Arabidopsis thaliana: one gene and its partner. The protein of the gene in region 1 interacts with the protein of each later gene in a pairwise test. Each region holds a gene or a part of one and is shown in the gene's direction. Other genes may lie near its edges.

The links. The genes of interacting proteins can lie anywhere in the genome.
Region 2: the proteins of FTSZ2-2 (region 1) and RPL12-A interact in a protein complementation assay, tested with the Arabidopsis thaliana proteins (one study listed by BioGRID).

What each region holds. Positions count from the first base shown.
Region 1 is NC_003074.8:19,548,801-19,556,072, reverse strand, and holds FTSZ2-2 (Tubulin/FtsZ family protein), read left to right. Parts: upstream 1-2,971; 5' UTR 2,972-3,181; intron 3,182-3,200; exon of another isoform or gene 3,201-3,507; intron 3,508-3,589; 5' UTR 3,590-3,637; coding exon 3,638-4,258; intron 4,259-4,625; coding exon 4,626-4,925; intron 4,926-5,015; coding exon 5,016-5,106; coding exon of another isoform or gene 5,107-5,147; exon of another isoform or gene 5,148-5,442; intron 5,443-5,483; coding exon 5,484-5,608; intron 5,609-5,756; coding exon 5,757-5,849; intron 5,850-5,934; coding exon 5,935-6,000; intron 6,001-6,106; coding exon 6,107-6,232; 3' UTR 6,233-6,412; downstream 6,413-7,272. Other genes in the region: AT3G52760 (Integral membrane Yip1 family protein), read left to right, coding at 1,368-2,141. UniProt on the Arabidopsis thaliana protein: Exhibits GTPase activity. Component of the plastid division machinery that forms a contractile ring at the division site.
Region 2 is NC_003074.8:10,316,197-10,321,361, forward strand, and holds RPL12-A (ribosomal protein L12-A), read left to right. Parts: upstream 1-2,308; 5' UTR 2,309-2,379; coding exon 2,380-2,955; 3' UTR 2,956-2,956; exon of another isoform or gene 2,957-3,236; intron 3,237-3,284; coding exon of another isoform or gene 3,285-3,454; 3' UTR 3,455-3,724; downstream 3,725-5,165. Other genes in the region: MDAR4 (monodehydroascorbate reductase 4), read left to right, coding at 1-1, 313-532, 618-736, 930-1,685; AT3G27831 (Gamma-thionin family protein), read right to left, coding at 3,285-3,454, 3,833-3,896.

The sequences.
Region 1 (7,272 bases):
GTAATGAGTAAATAGACAAAAAGTTTTGGATATACTTAACACATATTTTAAACATCGCAAATACGGATGCAATATCAATAGTAACATTTGGTATGTTCTTGCATATCAAAATGTGTTCGACAAAAATAGACTAGAAAAACAAGGAAGATGTCGCATCGAACTCAAGTGTTTGTGTGAAAAATAAAATTTGAGGCGAAGAAGAACAATCATGATATAATTGGCCGAAATGAATAATCATCATATATCATAAAACAAGGCAAACTCGAAGTCAACTTTGAAATCTCAGTTTTAGAGATGTCCGATTTATGATTACTCCAAATCTCTTTGGAAGACCATGCAAGGCATCATCATCTGACGTCAGAATTAATTATGGACCTCTGGTTTTCAATTTTCACAATCATTATATTTCCTCACTTCTTATTTATGAGACCTAGATCTTGATATCGGTCAATATGTTATAGGTTTGAGTTACGATGTTACAATATCTTTGACTCTCAACTTATGCAAATTATATTCTGCAGTTGCTCTTCATATAATCTTATCTCTTGGAAGTAATATTACAACTCTGCAATATAAAATCAAGAACATCTGTGAGTTTTCGTAGAAATCAAGATAACACCAAAAGAATAATAATAACAGAATAAGTTATTCTGAATAACATAATACTTTCAAGATTATAGGAGAAAATGTTGATTGAACTGTGTGTGTTTTTCTTTCTTTATACTATTGAGCAAACGAATGTTTCAGTTATTGCAAATTAAGAAAGCTAAGATTGATAGAAAAAGAAGTATCATGAACATCAGAAAGGCAACTTTGAATAAATCTACGTATTGATCATTGCTCTTACAATTTATACAAATTCTAAATGACTTACGTATTGATCATTGCTCTTACAATTTATACAAATTCTAAATGACTTTCAAAAAATGGTAAGGACACTACTATAGGTTTAAAAAATAAAAAATCGCCGTTGCCGGGGATCGAACCCGGGTCACCCGCGTGACAGGCGGGAATACTTACCACTATACTACAACGACTTTGTTGTTCAGTGAGCCTAATAACTTATAAAATTACGATAATTAGTCAGTAGTGAAAACTATTCACAACTCACAAGTGGGGCTATTGACTTGTTTGTGTAGCAAAGGCTGTTCAAAACTACAAACTAATGGGCTGATAAAGCCTTATACGGCCCAAAACATTATTAATTCACTTACCGAAAATGCCCTTATCACATATCACGAAGATACGAACACGAAGAATGCGTAGTAGTCGCCTGTTACTGGAATTATTTTCAATTTCTGAAATCAAATCCGATTGAGAGAAAACACTAACTTCAAATTCGAGATCTGAATTAGGGATTCTAGAGGATGACGAAGGATTTTCCAATTCCACCGGTTGTTTTCCCCACCAGTGGATCATCTCCGGCCACCGCAAATGTTCAGCAACGCCGAGTTCCCACAGCTCCTTACCAACCACCACGTCAATCCTCCGCTTCATCTTCAATCCCTTTCATTCCATTTGAAATCGGATCCGCCGCCGTTTCAATGCCGGCGGGACCATTCGACGGAACAATCGCTTCATCTGCATCTTTCGGTAGAGGAGTCTCTGCTTCGTTTGAGGATGAGGAGCCTTTACTCGACGAACTCGGTATCCATCCAGATCAAATCTGGAAGAAAACTAGATCGATTCTCAATCCTTTTCGAATCAATCAGACTGTTCACAAAGATTCAGATCTCTCTGGTCCGATCTTCTTATACCTTGCGCTTTGCTTATTTCAATTGCTCGCTGGGAAGATACAGTTTGGTGTTATACTTGGTTGGGTTGTTGTTTCTTCTATCTTCTTGTACATTGTCTTCAATATGCTTGCTGGTAGAAATGGGAATCTTAATCTTCATACTTGTACGAGTTTAGTTGGTTACTCTCTGCTTCCCGTTGTGATTTTGTCCGCGGTGTCCTTGTTTGTGCCACAAGGTGCTGGTCCCGTTCGGTTTGTGCTCGGTGCGGCTTTCGTGTTGTGGGCTACTAGAGCTTGTTCTAATCTGGTGGTGTCTCTTGCTGATGGAGGAGAAGAGCACCGTGGATTGATTTCGTACGCCTGTTTCTTAATCTATACTCTGTTTTCGCTTCTCGTTATCTTTTGATTCCTTGCTTTCGAATATTGATAGATTGTTGAACTTTCCGGTGCCATTACTGAGTAGCTTAATGTGATATCTTATAAGTGTTTGTGGTGAAATAGCTGAGACATTGTAAAGGTTTTTGATAACTTTAGAGGAAGTTGTTATTGATGTGGTTTAAGTAATTGAAGATGATGTTCTAAGATCTCTTACTATTGGAAATCTCGAAACGTTTATGCCATATACATCCTTTTGTGGTTCTGTTTGACAGTTTCTTGACATGAACTGTTCTTTGAATTAGATTTGGTGAGAGTATCAATTGCTCATTTTTAGCGTACATGTGTTGCAGTTGTAGTGTAGATTTTCCGAACGTAGAAGCGAGTCACTAAGATGTTTTGATTAAAGATCTTAGGTTGCTTCAACTACCAATGATAAATAAGTGACTGGGGAGAAGTGTGAATGGTTTAGCTTGAAATTGTTCTATAAGCGAGAAAGTAGTTGATCAGAAGATACACATGACGAGCTTTGGCCTGGCAATGGCATTGCATAAGATAGCGAAACTATCATACTTCGATTGTCTCAATCACAATTGATGCGTTCGAAACAAATCTAAACGCAAACAAACAATCTGAATTATAGAATTGTGGCTTGTTTACGTTCATCATCATTCATGGTTCCATGGACTTCACTGTTCTACATGAGCAAGCAAAAGACTCATAAAATTGTGCAAATTTTTCGTATGCTTATTATCCGGCTAAAGCCCAGAATTCGTTGTATGGGCTTTAAGACCAACATTATAGGCCCATTTATATTAAACATTTAATTTTCTTCATCACTCTCGTCGGCTAACGCTTTGTCTCTTTCACCAACTTATTTAACAGATGAATTTAGTAGCTGTAGTTGTTACTGAAACAGATAAAAATTAGGAGCAAAATCAAAATCATAATCCACTTTTATGTGATCGAGAAAGAGATTCTAAGCCCAGAAAACACCAAAACCTTCCATTTTCATTGGTTCCCATTTTTTTTTCTTTGTAGCTCGAATTCTCTGCTGCCACTACTCGTAAGGTACTCTTCGTCTTTTACATGTTAATGTACTTCTGCTACAATCTCTAAAACTGCTCCCTCTGGAAATTCTGTACTCAATCGTCGAAATGTCTTAGCTTTTTGTATTCGTCTACTGTTTTACAAATTTCTGGAATTCCCCATCTTCAATTTCGTTACTTTAGAACAGTACGATGTGCCAATTGTAGTTTTCTGATTCAAATTGATACTCCTCGGAAATTTATTAATTAAAGCATTGACTTTTCTTTGTAGTATCTTAGCTTCTAGTGTTGAACTTGATCCATATGCTGCTGATATGCAACTGGTTTCCAATTATAGTACTGTAGAATGTGAGTGCCACTTTTTTTTTTTTTTAATCTTCTTCTTGGTTCAGGACTTGACGTTGACCTCTTGTTCTTTCTCTTGAAGCAGTGAAATTGGAGTTTTTAATAGATCTTTGGTTGCTTCTGTAGTCTCAGAATGGCAGCTTATGTTTCTCCCTGTTTAACTCCTCCGGATTCTCGGGTACTCACTGTTCTTAGAAAGAGTGTGTTACCTGATCATCATCTAGGCACGAGGGTTGGTTGCTTAAGAATGAGTGAAGGTACTACTAAAAGATATCGTGTTGTTGCTTCTCATAAGTACGAGTCTTCGTCAATCAGAAACTCTTTGAATTCTCATAGTACAAGCCATTTCCAAAGCCAAGACTCTTTCTTGAATCTCCACCCTGAGATATCCATGCTCAACCCAAGAAAAGAAACTTCCAGTGTTCCCATTACTGAGGATTTGGATGAGTTATCTACTCCAAACACTTACAATGAGGCTAGGATTAAAGTTATCGGCGTTGGAGGTGGTGGTTCAAACGCTGTGAATCGTATGATTGAGAGTGAGATGATTGGTGTGGAGTTTTGGATTGTGAATACCGATATCCAAGCAATGAGAATATCTCCGGTTTTTCCAGACAATAGGTTACAAATTGGTAAGGAGTTGACTAGGGGTTTAGGTGCTGGAGGTAATCCAGAGATTGGGATGAATGCTGCTACAGAAAGCAAAGAAGCTATTCAAGAAGCACTTTATGGTTCAGATATGGTCTTTGTCACAGTATGTCTATAACTATTACTTTCACTTTTTCTTAGTAACAAACTTTTATTTATACTTATTTCTATATAAAGATATAGATTACAAATGAGAAGTTTTACGGGTCAGAATCGCCGTTTGCAATATCATGTTGGTTTTATTGAATTTTGGTGGGTTGCAGTTTCTCTTTGTGTTTACCAGTTTCTCTTTTATCTCCATCTGGTTAAAGCAGTGAGGTTTATGTCTTCGATCATAGAATACTTTCCTGTTTAAAGTACAACCAGTTATGGGTTATTGTGTGAATTTGCTGCCTCCATAGATTGACTGTAAGATTAGATCTTTAAGTTCAGTGCCTAAGCTTTTCTAGCCAAATGTCTTGTTATTTTTCTAGGCTGGAATGGGTGGTGGAACTGGCACAGGTGGTGCTCCTATAATTGCAGGGGTTGCAAAAGCGATGGGTATATTAACGGTTGGTATTGTGACAACGCCTTTCTCATTTGAGGGACGGAGAAGAGCACTCCAGGCTCAGGAAGGGATTGCAGCCCTCAGAGATAATGTTGACACCCTCATTGTTATTCCAAACGACAAGTTACTAGCAGCAGTCTCTCAGTCTACTCCAGTTACAGAAGCATTTAATCTGGCAGATGATATACTTCGTCAAGGTGTCCGTGGAATATCTGATATTATTACGGTATGGCTTTGAAAGTATTTATTCTCTAAGCTATGACATCCATGTTTATAGAAAATGTCTGACTGCAATATCGTTGTGTTTGCATTGCAGATTCCTGGATTGGTCAATGTGGATTTTGCTGATGTGAGGGCGATAATGGCAAATGCAGGTTCTTCATTGATGGGAATAGGAACTGCAACAGGTAAGAGTAGAGTGTTCTTTGGAATTGAACTATTTTATTGATAGGCTCTATCTGCTGCATCATTACGTATGTCGAAGGGGAATATTGGTTTAGAAGGCAGGTTAAAGAACCCTGTGACCAATATAGGCGACGCTTTATGCATATGTTTGTTAGCTAAAATGCTAAGTTTTCAATTTACTGAGAATTGGTACTACAGATGTAGCTGAGTAGATTAATTTGACTATAGATTTAGTACTCTTTAACCATGACAAAGGAATAATGTTTGGTCCACTGCAAGTTGGTATATTGAGGAAAATCCTAAACTTGAACTATTTTGGTGCTATGTTTTGGCTGCATCATCATGCTTAATCTTTCAAGCTATACTGTTATTTGAGCAGGAAAGACCCGAGCAAGAGATGCTGCATTAAACGCAATCCAATCCCCTTTATTAGATATTGGCATTGAGAGAGCCACTGGAATAGTTTGGAACATAACCGGTGGAAGTGACTTAACACTGTTCGAGGTTTTTTTTCCCTCTCTACGCTTTCAGACCATTTCCTGTCCTAGAAATCACTTGGTTTCTTCCCTAGACAATTCATAAAAGAACTTCAGTCCCATGTCATATATAACGTTGTGTGTCTCTATTTTGACTCTCGGGAAACGATTTGTAGGTAAATGCTGCTGCAGAAGTGATTTACGACCTCGTTGATCCAACAGCGAATCTTATATTTGGTGCTGTGGTAGATCCATCTTATAGTGGTCAAGTAAGTATTCTTCTTTCTTGGATTTTCTTCTAACATATAACCTATGAGATACCCAAATTGCTTAAACTTTTTTTCTTCCTGTCAGATAAGTATTACCCTGATAGCAACTGGCTTCAAACGCCAAGAAGAAGGAGAAGGGAGGCCACTTCAGGTATTCACTTGTCTCCCTTGACACACACACACAACATAGCCGATTCTTACATCAAATGTTAAAAGTCTTCGGTTGTAATCTCTCTTATTGCTACATGAAAATACAGGCGACACAAGCGGATGCATCAATGGGAGCCACAAGACGTCCTTCATCATCATTCACTGAAGGCAGCTCCATAGAGATCCCAGAGTTCTTAAAGAAGAAAGGGCGCTCTCGCTATCCTCGCCTCTAGACCCACTTTGATCACTCTACATGATATTGTTGAATGTAAGGAGAAAGAATGTTTGGTGCGGCTATGTAAATTGCCTCTATGGTGATATTCTATAATAGGTTGTTAGAAATTATTTTACTATATTACAAAAATAATGTTACTTGACAGATGATAAATCTTAGTCTCTGTCACTCTGTTTCCAGATTTTGCCTTTGGATAAATGGATAGAAAAACAACATCTAAGACAAATATATCCTATGATGAGACATTGTAAATGGTTTTGGTTATTTAAATCAAACATACGGGTGCACAAATTATTATTTTTACCACAAATTACACATAAATTTCGAAAGAAAGAAAGAAAAAAGGTATAATTAAACGATATTATTGCACATCGTGCAAATAAATTAGTCTCGATGATATTGTTACTAAAAAAACATTAAGGACTTGTGTTGAAAATTCAAAGCTGCTAGCAATCTCGAGGAGGAGGTGGTCTTGGAATGGGTTTGCAAGGCTTTTTATAGTTATGTCCCGGCGTATCTTCACCTCCTCCCTTTGGAGAATCTCCACATGGTGGGGAGGGTCTTACGCATATCTCAGGTTTACCTTTGTAGTTGCACACACATTAAAAAAAAAATTTAGAAGATTAACTTGTTGGTTGTAAATGGATGTAACATGTAAGAAAATACGAACTAATCAGTTTGTAAACTACACCATTTTATATTTGGGACGATTAAGCGTCAAGTGCAACGATTCAAAACGTTACTTAAAAATAAGAAGAGACTGACCTTGGTGGACACGAACATGAAAAGAGAGACATAGAAATATATGAAGCAAACATAGGAGAAGAAAAGCTTGTCTTGTTGTTTTCTTCATTTTCATTGTTCTTCTCCCTCTCATGTCGACCAGTTGTGTATATATAAAACTGAAGCAGACGAAATCAAACTTTTAGTGAATAAATAAATCTGAAGTCAAAACTTTGACGACTTCTTGATTGCTGTGAAAACGCGGTTTTGTACATCAGCTATGTAACATTTTCTCAATAAACAATTACAATTTTT
Region 2 (5,165 bases), 9.2 Mb from region 1:
GGTATGGCTTGCACAATAATATTTATGTTTTCGTTTATCCAAAGTAAGAGTGTGTTCCGGTGACTATTAGCATAAACGATAAATCACTGGTTTTTAACAACGTATTATCCTCTTTATGATTTTGTAATTAATTGGCTGAAGACAATGGGTTTTTGTAATAGTTGAATGTCTAGTAGATGTTGTGAACATTGTTGTAGGCAAATCTGCTCACTCCTGAAAATTGCCAAAGGAATTTGTGCTATTTTAAAACATAGAACATTAAACTGCTAAAGTTGTGGCCTTATTCTTGTCACATTTGGCTCGTGCAACTAGGCGTTGAAGCTTGAAGAATTTGGGGTGGAAGGCTCAGATGCTGAAAATGTTTGTTACTTACGAGATCTAGCTGATGCAAATAGGCTTGCCACTGTGATTCAATCAAGCTCCAACGGGAATGCGGTTGTTATCGGCGGTGGCTATATCGGTATGGAGTGTGCTGCATCTTTAGTGATCAACAAAATCAATGTGACGATGGTTTTCCCAGAGGCTCACTGCAGTAAGTTCTCTCGATTATTACTAAACTTACGTGTACGAGAGAAAGGTTGTGTATTTAGCTTGACCTTTTTAGTTTCTTATGACAGTGGCACGTCTCTTTACGCCCAAGATTGCAAGTTTGTATGAAGACTACTACAGGGCTAAAGGCGTAAAATTTATAAAAGGAACGGTTTTGACATCATTTGAGTTTGACTCGAACAAAAAGGTAAGATCGTTTCTTTTAGCTTGAGATTCAACTCGAAAAATGTCTGGTACGTTGCATCTATGTATACAACTAAGGATGGCAAGAATCAGTAGAACCACAGATACTTCTGGTCCAGTACTCAAACTATGAAATCTTGAGCCTTGTTCAATGTATTTGTTTATTGATATGAGGTTTTTTGGTTTTCGATTTACAGGTTACTGCAGTTAATCTCAAAGACGGGAGCCACTTACCAGCCGACTTGGTTGTGGTTGGTATCGGGATACGACCAAACACAAGCTTGTTTGAAGGACAGTTAACAATAGAGAAAGGAGGGATAAAAGTGAACAGCAGAATGCAGTCAAGTGACAGCTCAGTGTATGCAATAGGCGATGTAGCTACATTTCCAGTGAAACTATTTGGCGAAATGAGGAGGCTTGAGCACGTGGACTCAGCTAGGAAATCTGCGCGACACGCAGTTTCAGCCATCATGGATCCAATAAAGACCGGAGACTTTGATTACTTACCATTTTTCTACTCAAGGGTCTTCGCATTCTCATGGCAATTCTATGGAGACCCTACAGGTGATGTTGTGCACTTTGGAGAGTATGAAGACGGGAAATCATTTGGAGCGTATTGGGTTAAAAAGGGTCACCTTGTTGGATCTTTTCTTGAAGGAGGCACTAAAGAAGAATATGAAACTATCTCAAAGGCGACACAATTGAAACCAGCTGTGACTATTGATTTGGAAGAATTGGAAAGAGAAGGACTCGGGTTTGCTCACACGGTTGTGAGTCAGCAGAAAGTTCCTGAAGTTAAGGATATTCCGAGCGCTGAGATGGTGAAGCAATCTGCAAGTGTGGTCATGATAAAGAAGCCTTTGTATGTATGGCACGCAGCTACTGGAGTCGTTGTGGCTGCATCTGTGGCTGCGTTCGCGTTTTGGTATGGGAGGAGACGCCGTAGATGGTGAGGAAAAAAAAAACTCTTCAAGTGTTGGATTCATTGGAAATGGAACTTGCTGTTGTTTGTAGCATTGGTGGGAGAAATATAGAAGGGAGAGTCCAAACTACTCAATGTGATTACATTGGTATACGATTATTATATGCTTCTTTTAAAATGCATAAACGTTTCCACTACAAACTTTGATTCAACGTCTTTGAAGCCCTTTGTTACTTGTTAGTGTTCATAATCTTGTGATTATTGGTAGAGTTAATTCGGCAATACGGCAATACCCATAAAATTAGAAAAATAGCAATGAGGAGCTAGCTAACAAATAATTTTGCACACTTATTTAATTGTTATGACAGAAATCATAATTAATAAACAAACTAAATGTGATTAGAACAACAAGGGCGTTTGGTCTAGTGGTATGATTCTCGCTTTGGGTGCGAGAGGTCCCGAGTTCGATTCTCGGAACGCCCCTTTTTATTTTTTTAACTCCTCAACGTCAGGCCTCACGGGTATTTTCGTAAACATACAAACGATACAACCTCATCTATTTGTATATGCGCATGATAGCAAACGTACGCAATATTCTATTCCCCAAAATACCCCTTATCCATCATTTTTCTATCCTCTCATCTTTCATCTTCCTCACACACAATCCAATCAAAACACACAGAGAGAAGAAAAACTCAGAAGAAAAGCCAAAGAGTGAAACAAAAATGGCGTCGACGACTCTCTCAATCGCAACAACAATCCGTTCCTCATCTTATCCTACTCTCGCTTCCATCAATCACTTCCCTTCCCGAACCACCACCATCGAATTCCCCTCTCGCTTCGGTGGTGGTTCATCATCCACATTGACCCACCGTGCAACCCATCTCCGTCCAATCGCCGCCGTCGAAGCTCCGGAGAAAATCGAGAAGATCGGATCCGAAATCTCATCCCTAACCCTCGAAGAAGCTCGTATCCTCGTCGACTATCTCCAAGACAAATTCGGTGTCTCCCCACTCTCTTTAGCCCCCGCAGCAGCGGCGGTTGCTGCTCCAGCCGACGGTGGCGCGGCGGCTGTAGTGGAGGAGCAAACAGAGTTCGATGTGGTTATCAATGAAGTTCCGAGTAGTTCTCGTATTGCAGTAATTAAAGCTGTTAGGGCTTTGACTAGCTTGGCGTTGAAGGAAGCTAAGGAGCTAATCGAAGGATTACCAAAGAAGTTTAAAGAAGGTATCACTAAAGATGAAGCTGAAGAAGCTAAGAAGACTCTTGAAGAAGCTGGTGCTAAAGTCTCCATTGCTTAAGGTTTTTATAAAAAAAAAAAAAGAAGTTGTTATCTTTTCTGGAATTTGATTGGTCTTTTGTGTTGTTTAGTATAGTTTGCGTCTGGAATTGTTGAGAAATTGTTGTAATTTGAATCACATTTGGTTTCCCATTAGCTGATTTCGCCATTGATGTGAGCTTTTTGGTAGCTGCACATAACATGTTTGTTGAAATGCCTAAATGAGGCAAATCACTCGTAGTTGCTTAACATGAAACAGAGTTAAAAATAATAAGCACAAATGTCACTGCTACATTTTTTTACTTAGTATTGTAACACTCATGAAATATTTAGGATATATTATAAACGAGATCATGTATGAATACAAAAACACAGCATATTAACACCAAGTTTGAGGCATTGTCCACCTAAGAAACCTTGTTCTTTGCAGTGCTTATTGCAGTCCGGAAATTTTGAGCATAGACCTTCCACAAGGTACCACCCTCCTTGAGCTTTGGCCATAGATTTTGCGTGTACTTCACCTATCGTTTTCCAAAGATTGTTGTAATATTAGAAAAAAAGTCGTTACTCGTTTAGACATAAAGGCAAAAGAAAAAGAAAATTCACTCGACAAGAATCTCTTGCAGCTGGTAACAACGCAATATCACTATGTATTTTATTTTATTTTTTGTGATAACAAGTTAATATCACAATGTATTGTGAATCACAATGTATTGTGAAAATAATAGTGTATACAATATGTATGGAGATATGATCTAATGTCTGATATAAAATAAGTATTCGGTTTGCTAGTTAGTGTTGAGTGTTAACTCATGAATCTTGCTACTTTGGTTATACTTCAGTATATATGAATAAATTGAATTAAACAGAAAAAAAATATAAACGTTTTTTTGGCATACTTGGGGCGAGAAGAACAATCATGCATAAGAACACAAGGAAGGCGCATTTGCTTGATGAAGCCATTTTTGGTTTTTGTATTGTTTATTTTTCTAATATTTGCTAATGGAACACAATATTACTCAAAACCCTTATTAATATATATATATATATATCTGTATATATAGAGAGAGAAATATGATGAGTTTTTTACTTTGTAAATAAAATTGGATTCTTTTCTTATTTAATCTAGGATATTTTATTACATTTAAGTTATGGTTTTATTTTATATATATGAAATTTTTAATAATCATGATATGGGATGGGGTGGATTTAATTAGTGATGATTATAGGATTTAGATTCAATTTTTTCTATTAGTTTATTTTCATTATGATAACTTTAGGTATCCTACTATATTATTTAGGAAGTACATTTTAAATGTAACCTTAACTTTTGTAATTAATTACATGACAATGCCATTAGAAAAGTTTAATAAAAAAAATCCTTTAATGACGTCATTAAGGTTACCAAAATCATTTAACGACAATATTAATCTCTTAATTATAGGGTTTATTGGATCTACAGACGGGTTAGCAAAATATACTGAATATTCAAATATCTATCTGTTAGCAAATTATAAACAAATAAGTTCGTAAAAGAATTTCATATTTTATATACGAAATCAACTAAATCTTAATCACATAAAAATTAGCACAAAAAAAAAGTATTCAACCATTAAAAAATTATCAAATCTCTGTGTTATATAAGTTTTGATAGTATATTCGAATAAAGTGTAATATACCTTTTCAATTTGTATTCTTTAACTAATTTAAGCTAACTAATATATTTTCTAATCTTATACCTATCAAAACCGACTATCGTTTCTTATCTCTATAGTATTTTTGCAAGACTTTTTTGGTAGATTTGGGTAAAAGTGCATTCGGGTCATATGGTACATTCTCTATTAAATAAATATGGTGCACTCATATGTTATTAGCTAAAATGTTTAGATTATAATTCAGAGTCATATCATAAATAAAATTAATATTAATCAAATAAATGGCTTTTTGGCAAGACGGATTTGGAGGGACGGGTTTTTGAATCAACATTAATAAAAAAGTAAAATATAATTAATCCACCATTTCAGTACGAGTTAAATCTTTAATTTATTATTTTTTAAGACCACTAATATTAAACATATCAAATCATCCTAATTTAGAAAAAATTATATAAAACCAAAATTGTTATATGGTATGTATAATGTTACTATATATAAAATTAAACAATAAAATATAAAACTTTAACTTAAAAACTGCGGTAACAATTATAAACTGTAAATATAAATAGTTTATAAA